Sus scrofa: one gene and its partner. The protein of the gene in region 1 purifies or fractionates together with the protein of each later gene. This does not show direct contact. Links are inferred from orthologs where the notes say so. Each region holds a gene or a part of one and is shown in the gene's direction. Other genes may lie near its edges. The genes, in order: PLD1 and ARF1.

Region 1 (4,418 bases):
TATAAAGCTTATCTTTGACAGTCCATAGCTTAAGTTTATCGTTAAACAACATATGGCATTTTCCTATTTTATTCCTCTAGTTCAGGGAAGCAGAAATTCTATTACTGTGAGTGCACTTAAATATTTTATTTCCAATTATAGTTAATAGAAAAACCTATTGCCAAATGTTTTCATGATGACACTTAGAACCTTGGGACGCAATATTATAGCCCACTGCTTCTCAATCAAAAGTGTTATAATTTCTAAATACAAGCTTGTAAGAGTGCATTGCTTGTATGTATAAAACTTATCAAATCATCTGTGACTAATAAAACTTGAGAAAGAAGGGGAGGAAAGGGTATTCAACCTTTCGGTAACATGCTTGTCTTATACTTGCCAAATTCCTCTTAGGCAATACTCTGTTCAGAGAGCCATGTGTTTAATTGTAAAAATCTGTCAGTCTCATAGGATTCAAAAGATATCAATCATTTTTGTCAACAAAGAAAAGAGTGAAGGCTATGTGACTCTTCTTAGGAAAAGATGTGCTCAAGAGGGAAAAAAATGCAGTCCAGGGAGGGCTGAGCAACTATAGGTTACAGGAAAACAAGAGTTCCAGACTATAATTTCATTCCTCCTCCTCTACTTTGGAGTCGAATATTATATTTTTCATTTCACATAGTTCCATGTGCTCAGTAAGATTATGCAACTCGGCCAGTCTCGGCCGTGCAATATCCACTAAATGTTTTATAGAGGCCATCAATATTAGCAGTTTGGGGTATGTGGAGGCCATAGCTTCCTTCGGCTTTGGCAGAATGGCAATGTTGTGTAATGAAGTTGGAGCTGGCCTATATTCAAAGCTATATTTCAAAAGGGCTGCTAGTCAAGCCACATGACAAGTGGTTCTTTTTTTCTTAGGACTTTATTCTAAGTGGCCATCAAAACTGCTGTATTACAACAGTTCCATGGGTGGAATGGGAATTTTCCATGTTTTACTCCTGATTTATTATTTTATACTAAGATTTCTGAATTATACCTTACTCGAGCTTTAAAGACATCAGGACACAAAGTTCAGTTTCCTGAGTTCTTGGTTGGGTGATCTTAGGCTGGTTACTTCACTTTTCTGCCTCAGTGTCCTTGCTTGTAAATTAGTGATACATCTACACCAGGGAGTTGGAAGAAAGCTTATAGATGACTTCGACAAAACTCCAACTCCTTAATTGTGTCACCTCAGGCAAGTTATTTCACTTTTTTTTTTTTTTTTAAATCTTAATCCCTACTTGTAAAATAGACCAATTGTGGTTACCAGCTACAATAGATTATGATTAGATACAAAGTTCCTACAGCAGTGCCTGGGCACTGGGCGGCTCAAGAGGACCCGATAATACAATAAAAATGCTAGCGAATATGCCCTCGGTTGACGCGGCTGGGTTATGAAACTTTGGGAGAAAAGAGAAACAGAAGCGGGGACCAGGAAAGAGGACCAGCTTCCGCGCCCTCCTGACCAGCGGGGCGACCAGCCTGCGCTGCGACTCTCCCGGACCGGCACCACCTCGCCCCACCCCTGCCAGGCCTGCGCGAATCCGGGCGGCGGCACAGCGCGGTCCCCAGTCAGGCCCTCCCTCCTTCCCTCCTCCCGCGCCTCCTGCGGTGCCAGCTGCGTCCGAGCCCCAAGAAACCGCCGCCGCCGTGCCGGTTCCTGCGGCCGCCCTCGCTCCACAGGTAGGAGCCGTGCCGTGGTCCGGGAGCCTGGATTCCCCCGCGCTCGCCCTCCGCCCCTCCTCCCGCCGGCCCCAGGCAGCTGGCTGCTCCCCGCCCAAGTTGGACGGGACCTTGGCAGTGGCGTTGGCGGCCGGCGCCAGCGCCGTGCGGCCTCGCAGGACCGGCTTCCCTAGCAGCCCCACGGGGTCTCCTGTGCAAGCCTTGGTCCCGGGTTCCTGCAGAGCGGACGCTGACAACTTCGGCGCGCACTTTTGTCAGGGCGAGCGGCTGCCTGGAGCGCAGAACCGTTCTGGCTCCAGGCCGAAGTTGGGGCGTGCTCTGCAGGATGCACCCACCCACCTCGCCGCCAGGGACCCCAGTGCCGTGTGTTGGATGCCTCTGTGTTACTTCGCGCGCCCGGGGTTAGCGTGCGCTGTGAAATGACCGGGATGGCGGGTGCGATGGGACTAGCATCCCAGACCAACCAGGAAGTGTTGCATTCCGAGGCTTAAAGCCCAGCCTGCCAGATGCACCGTCCTGGCGTGTGGCCACACAGCTGCTCGCGGGGGCGCCCACGAGATGATGACGCCAGGGTGGGGCTAGGGAAAGGAGGCAAGGAGCTGGGCGTGTGTAAAGAGATTTATTTTTCTCGCCCCATCTCAACGAATTTGTGGCTTAGGTCTGGGATCCAAGAGGGCGGTGCTCCAAGCCTCGGATAGGATTTTGTGACGCCCTTCGGAACTAACCCTTGTGGAATCAGCTCAGTACTACAGACACGCCTGTATTTGTTCCTTTTCCAAGTCTCAGATTATTGTCTTCTTTATTTCCTCTGTAAAGTAGTAAACGCAAGTAGATTTTTAAGGACGACAAGGGTTTCTACGTTTGCTTACCCATAGGTTTCTCCGCAGAATGAGGAATTCGCTAAACTTTACCTGCCGGGCCTGCCAATTAGTTTAGACCACCTTTTGAGTGCTTTCCCAGGGCTTTTGGGAGTCCAGGCACCTAGAGACCTTTGTGTTGGGTTTAATGGCTAGTTAATGGTAGTGCAATGAAAATGTAAGGCATGAAAAGAATCTACAGCTTGAGCTATGAACAGACACCACAATTACACACTGCCTATTTAAGAAAGAATTTCTTTCAGTATTCAATGTTTTATGATAACATATATAAAAGTGAATTGTACACAGGCTTTTAACTTGAATTTGCACTCAGCCTTTAAATGTCGTTTGGGGATCTTTTCCCTAATTGGTTGAGCTCCCAACCTGTCTTCTCAGGATCTGGTATAATTCACAATCCATATTAAAAAAATGTGAGTAGTTAAGGCTTTGAGGAAGATGTGTCTTTACCATGTTTGTCCATGATGTCAGACTATTTGTGGAACATGATGAGAAGTACCTGTAACGTTGGTTGATTGACTTATAACTAAGTAGTGGGGACTCTGTTCTTTGGAAGTTGTCTGATTACTAAATGTGTTTCTTAATTAAAAATTGTTATAAAATTCATTTAACTTTAATTATTACAGAGTTTTTAAAGTTATTTTATTTCATTTTATTTTTATTGTGATAAGATACATATAAAGTAAAAAAAGATACACATAATGTAAACTGCCATTTTAACCATTTTTTTGTATACAGTTCAGTGTCATTAAGTACTTTCACATTATTGTGCTACCATCAAGACTATCCCTCTACAAAACTCTTTTCATCTTTCTTTTGGATTTTAATAACATGTTATTGATAAGGATTGTGATGCAAGCTTTAGGTTTCTCATTAAGCAAGGTTTGAGTTCCTTTTCATAGCTTTAGAGAAATTCATTTTTAAAGAAGAGAAGTGGAAAGCTGTAGCCAGACTCTGTTTAGTAAATCTATTTATTTATTTAATTTTTTAATTACTCAAATGAATTTATCACATCTGTAGTTTATAATGATCATCACAGTCCAAAAAAAAGTAAATCTTTTTTAAAATTAAAGTACAGTTGATTTACAGTGTTTCTTCAATCTATTTAGTAAATTTAATCTCCATCAGGAAAGGATAAGCTTGTGAGCTATTTCCATTTGTAGGTAAAGCTACTGTGAAGTTTAGCCATCAAGTGGGCGAAACAAGTAAGAGAATTATTGTTGATAGTTTCATCTCCTTAGTATCTAAGAGAAAAATGAAATACTTTTGTCTTCTTAGCAGTGAGGTAGCGTGTTTCTAAATTATGCTTGAGCTTAGGTTGTCCACAGCTTTTTAGTAACCAAAAGCAGTTTTGATCAAGCTAGCGGCTACGTTGTAGCAATTTCCTTTCCACTCCAGGTGTTTACTAAAGATGTATGCCAGAGGAGCTAGCACATAAGATATAGCCCTTTAAATTGGCAGTTAGTCTGAGTCATGTAGATGAGGGGAGCTGGAGCTGTGAGAGCTGTGAGAGTTTTATGTTTATAATCCTATAAATTTTAGCACCGTGAAATAAAATGTAGTTTCTGCCACTGGTGTGAATGAATATTGTTGCAGAGTTAAAATGCAACAACTTGTAGGAGTTCCTGCTATGGCTCAGCCCGTTAAAGGATCTGGCCTTGTCTCTGTGGTGGTGAGGGTTGGATCCCTGGGCCCAACCCAGTGCAGTGCGTTAAGGATCAGGGGTTGCCACAGTTGTGGTGTAGGTTGCAGCTGTGCTGGCTGGATCCCTGGCCAGGAATTTTCATATAACATGGGTGCCACACACACACACACACACACACACACACACACACACACACACAC
Region 2 (3,210 bases), on another chromosome or scaffold:
AGTATCTTACAGTGGAGACTTGGCAAACTTAAGTGGAGATCTGGCAACTCCACCTGAGCCTGTCATCAGAGGTGACATGGAACAGTGGGGATCTGGGGCACACCCCCCAGGTGGAGTACAGTGGTGCATGCCTGGTTACCCCAGCAACATCCATCCAAAGCCCAAAGACTGGGAGCTCATGGTTACTTCCAGGGATGGGGGATTAGGAATGTAGGGCAAAGCCCCTTCCTAGCCTTGACAGTGGCTTCCATCCACCAACACCCTCTCAGTGATCCACGTGCAAGTAGCTCCCTACCTGCTTGGAACAAGTTCTCTGGTTCATTTGGTTTTCTGTCAACACTCACACAGAGTTCTTTACAGTTGAAAGCTACCACAGTGTGGCTTCACTTAGATGCTAAAAATCCAGATTCCTTAGCTTTCAGCATTTGAACTTTCTCCCTTCTTGTTTGCAACTAAAACTGTTAAAGAGTGAAAGTGCTGAATGTGGAGGGGCCAGGCCTAGGCAGCCTTGGTGCCCTGGGGACATTTCAGGATGGGAGATCTCCTCTTCCCATGAGCAGCACTCTCCCACAAATGACAAATTACGGTCACTTGTGCCTTCCTGCAGATCTGGGTGTCTGGGGCTGGCTGGGCTCTGACCTTGTGTCCTAGCCAGCTTGATGGTATCCCAGTGTTTCTGCTCTACTGGGTAAGGAAAGCCTGGGAGGAACATGTTCTTGTGTGAGCATGTTGCTACACGGAATAGGCCTTCTCTCAAGGATAGCACTGACCATAGCTTTCGGCAAAGTTTCCCCTGACAGGCTCTCCAGGACCGTTGCTGTGAGTTCACCTTTGGACTGCATGCCTTCATGTGCTACCCTAGAGCCCAAGTGTTTTCACCCCCTGGTCCTACCTGCAGGATGTGCTAAGCTCTCAGCATGTTAATAAAGGTTGGCTTTTGGTCTCTGCCATGGGCCCTTCTAGCTCCTTGTGCTTTGGTCATCTTAACATGGACTGTGTTTCACTGAGACTTGGGGCAGTTGGGAGGAATGGTAGGACCTGGCAGTGGTTGTTTCTGGCTCCTTGAAGAGCTCTGTTAGATGGTGGAGAATCTAGCATTCATTTGAAAGCCACACCTCTTCATGCATGTTGGACATTACCTCCCACAGTGGCAGGTTGAAGGTCTTAAAGGTAAGTTGCCCTGTGACCTTGGGCATCATTTCCGGAGATAATGGCAGCAGCTGTTTCAAATTCCGGTCATCCTTATTCTAAGATTCCCATACTCTCCGTTCTAAGGGTAATTTGGGGGCTCAAGAAGCAGGTGGACGGGTTTGTCTTGTTTGGAAACCAGGTTATTTATCGGCTTATGCCTTGAGTTTCCAGGAGAGATAGCAGAGCCTCTGTCTGCCTGTGGGTGAGTGGGTAGGGGTGGTCTCTCAAGCTGCTCCTGTTCTGCTGACCCTGGGCAGCACAGAAAGAGACCCAGGGGCTTCTTGTTTCGACAGGTTTCTCTGGCCAGTGTTGCTCCCACCAGTCTACAGCATGGGGAATATCTTTGCAAACCTCTTCAAGGGCCTTTTTGGCAAGAAAGAAATGCGCATTCTCATGGTGGGTCTAGATGCTGCGGGAAAGACCACCATCCTGTACAAACTGAAGCTGGGTGAAATCGTGACCACCATTCCCACTATAGGTGAGGAGGCCGGGCCTCGGAGGCTAAGGGGTAGCAGTGGCTCTAGGGAGATGCTCACCTTGGGTCTTACTCCTCCAGGCTTCAACGTGGAAACCGTGGAGTACAAGAACATCAGCTTCACCGTGTGGGACGTGGGCGGCCAGGACAAGATCCGGCCACTGTGGCGCCACTACTTCCAGAACACGCAGGGTGAGGGTGGAACCCAGTTGTACCCCTCAAGGAGGGCCATGGCCTGTAGGAGAGGTCGGGGATGTCCTCGGTGCCTACACTAATGCTCACTCCTCCCTTTGCAGGTCTCATCTTTGTGGTAGATAGTAATGACAGAGAGCGTGTGAATGAGGCCCGAGAGGAGCTCATGAGGATGCTGGCAGAAGACGAGCTCAGGGACGCTGTTCTGCTTGTGTTTGCTAACAAACAGGTATGCATGACTGAGCTACCCTGTTGCTGGGTGGTGGGCACATGTCAGGTGGTTGGCCTCTCAGGTCTGAGGGTCTGATGAGGGAGTAACAGGACGGGTGGAAAGGGTTCCATGCAGTTTCCTTGACCCATGCCTATTGTGCTGCCTCTCCCACCAGGACCTTCCCAATGCCATGAATGCAGCCGAGATCACCGACAAGCTGGGCCTACACTCTCTGCGCCACAGGAACTGGTACATTCAGGCCACCTGTGCCACCAGTGGTGATGGGCTCTATGAGGGACTGGACTGGCTGTCCAATCAGCTCCGGAACCAGAAGTGAGCTGTACACCTCTCTCCTCCCCTCTCACTCCCTCTTCTACCCTTGCTTTACTCTCATGTGGCAAACGTGCCCCTGTGGTGTGAGTGCCAGAAGCTGTCTCCATGGTCAGTCACAGTGTGCTTCACCATGCTGTAAATGTGCAGACGCAGCCTGCAACTGGGTTTTTATTTAATGTAAATAGTTTTTGTTTCCAATGAGGCAGTTTCTGGTACTCCTATGCAATATTACTCAGCTTTTTTTATTGTAAAAAGAAAATCAACCCACTGTTTAGTACTGAGAAAGGATTTTAGGCACACGGGTCCTCTAGAAGTCACGTGTCAGACAGGCCCAATCCTCCTCCTCTGGGCTTTAGATCTGTGTTGAGATCCATTTTGGTGGTTGGTTTTTAACCCAAACTCAGTGCATTTTTTAAAAATAGTTACAAATACAAGATAAGGAGAACACTTGAACACACAGAAGGGAGAAATGTGCCTAGTGTAGGTTCTGCAGTAATCACCTGAGTCCAGTCCACTGGTGGTCTGTTTCCCATTGGGAACATGAAATGAAATGGAGCAGAACCAGCCATGATCCATTCTGCATGGTCACAATAGGATCCCTCTGATTGGCTCTGTCTTGGGTCATCCCACACCCCATTGCGTTTTTGCTTGTATTTGTGCTCACATGGCCGCCCAGGAGATGGACTGGAGCTGCAGCCACTGCTCCCAGACCCCTTGGAGGAACCCCAGCCTTTTCTTGAGTCAACATGGGCACCTTGGTTGGAACACTCTGGCTGGAGCGGGAGCCCTGCAGTCCCCTTGCTTGCCT

Evidence for each region.
Region 2: the proteins of PLD1 (region 1) and ARF1 purify together in Homo sapiens (affinity purification with western blotting; 3 studies listed by BioGRID, with this or other methods). This does not show direct contact. The link is inferred for Sus scrofa from reciprocal best matches to the Homo sapiens genes PLD1 and ARF1.

The regions. Positions count from the first base shown.
Region 1 is NC_010455.5:110,373,356-110,377,773, reverse strand, and holds the start of PLD1 (phospholipase D1), read left to right. Parts: upstream 1-1,454; 5' UTR 1,455-1,698; intron 1,699-4,418. UniProt on the Homo sapiens protein: Function as phospholipase selective for phosphatidylcholine. Implicated as a critical step in numerous cellular pathways, including signal transduction, membrane trafficking, and the regulation of mitosis.
Region 2 is NC_010444.4:51,234,072-51,237,281, forward strand, and holds ARF1 (ADP-ribosylation factor 1), read left to right. Parts: upstream 1-1,483; 5' UTR 1,484-1,484; coding exon of another isoform or gene 1,485-1,521; coding exon 1,522-1,669; coding exon of another isoform or gene 1,670-1,747; coding exon 1,748-1,858; intron 1,859-1,962; coding exon 1,963-2,087; intron 2,088-2,244; coding exon 2,245-2,406; 3' UTR 2,407-2,440; downstream 2,441-3,210. UniProt on the Homo sapiens protein: Small GTPase involved in protein trafficking between different compartments. Modulates vesicle budding and uncoating within the Golgi complex. In its GTP-bound form, triggers the recruitment of coatomer proteins to the Golgi membrane.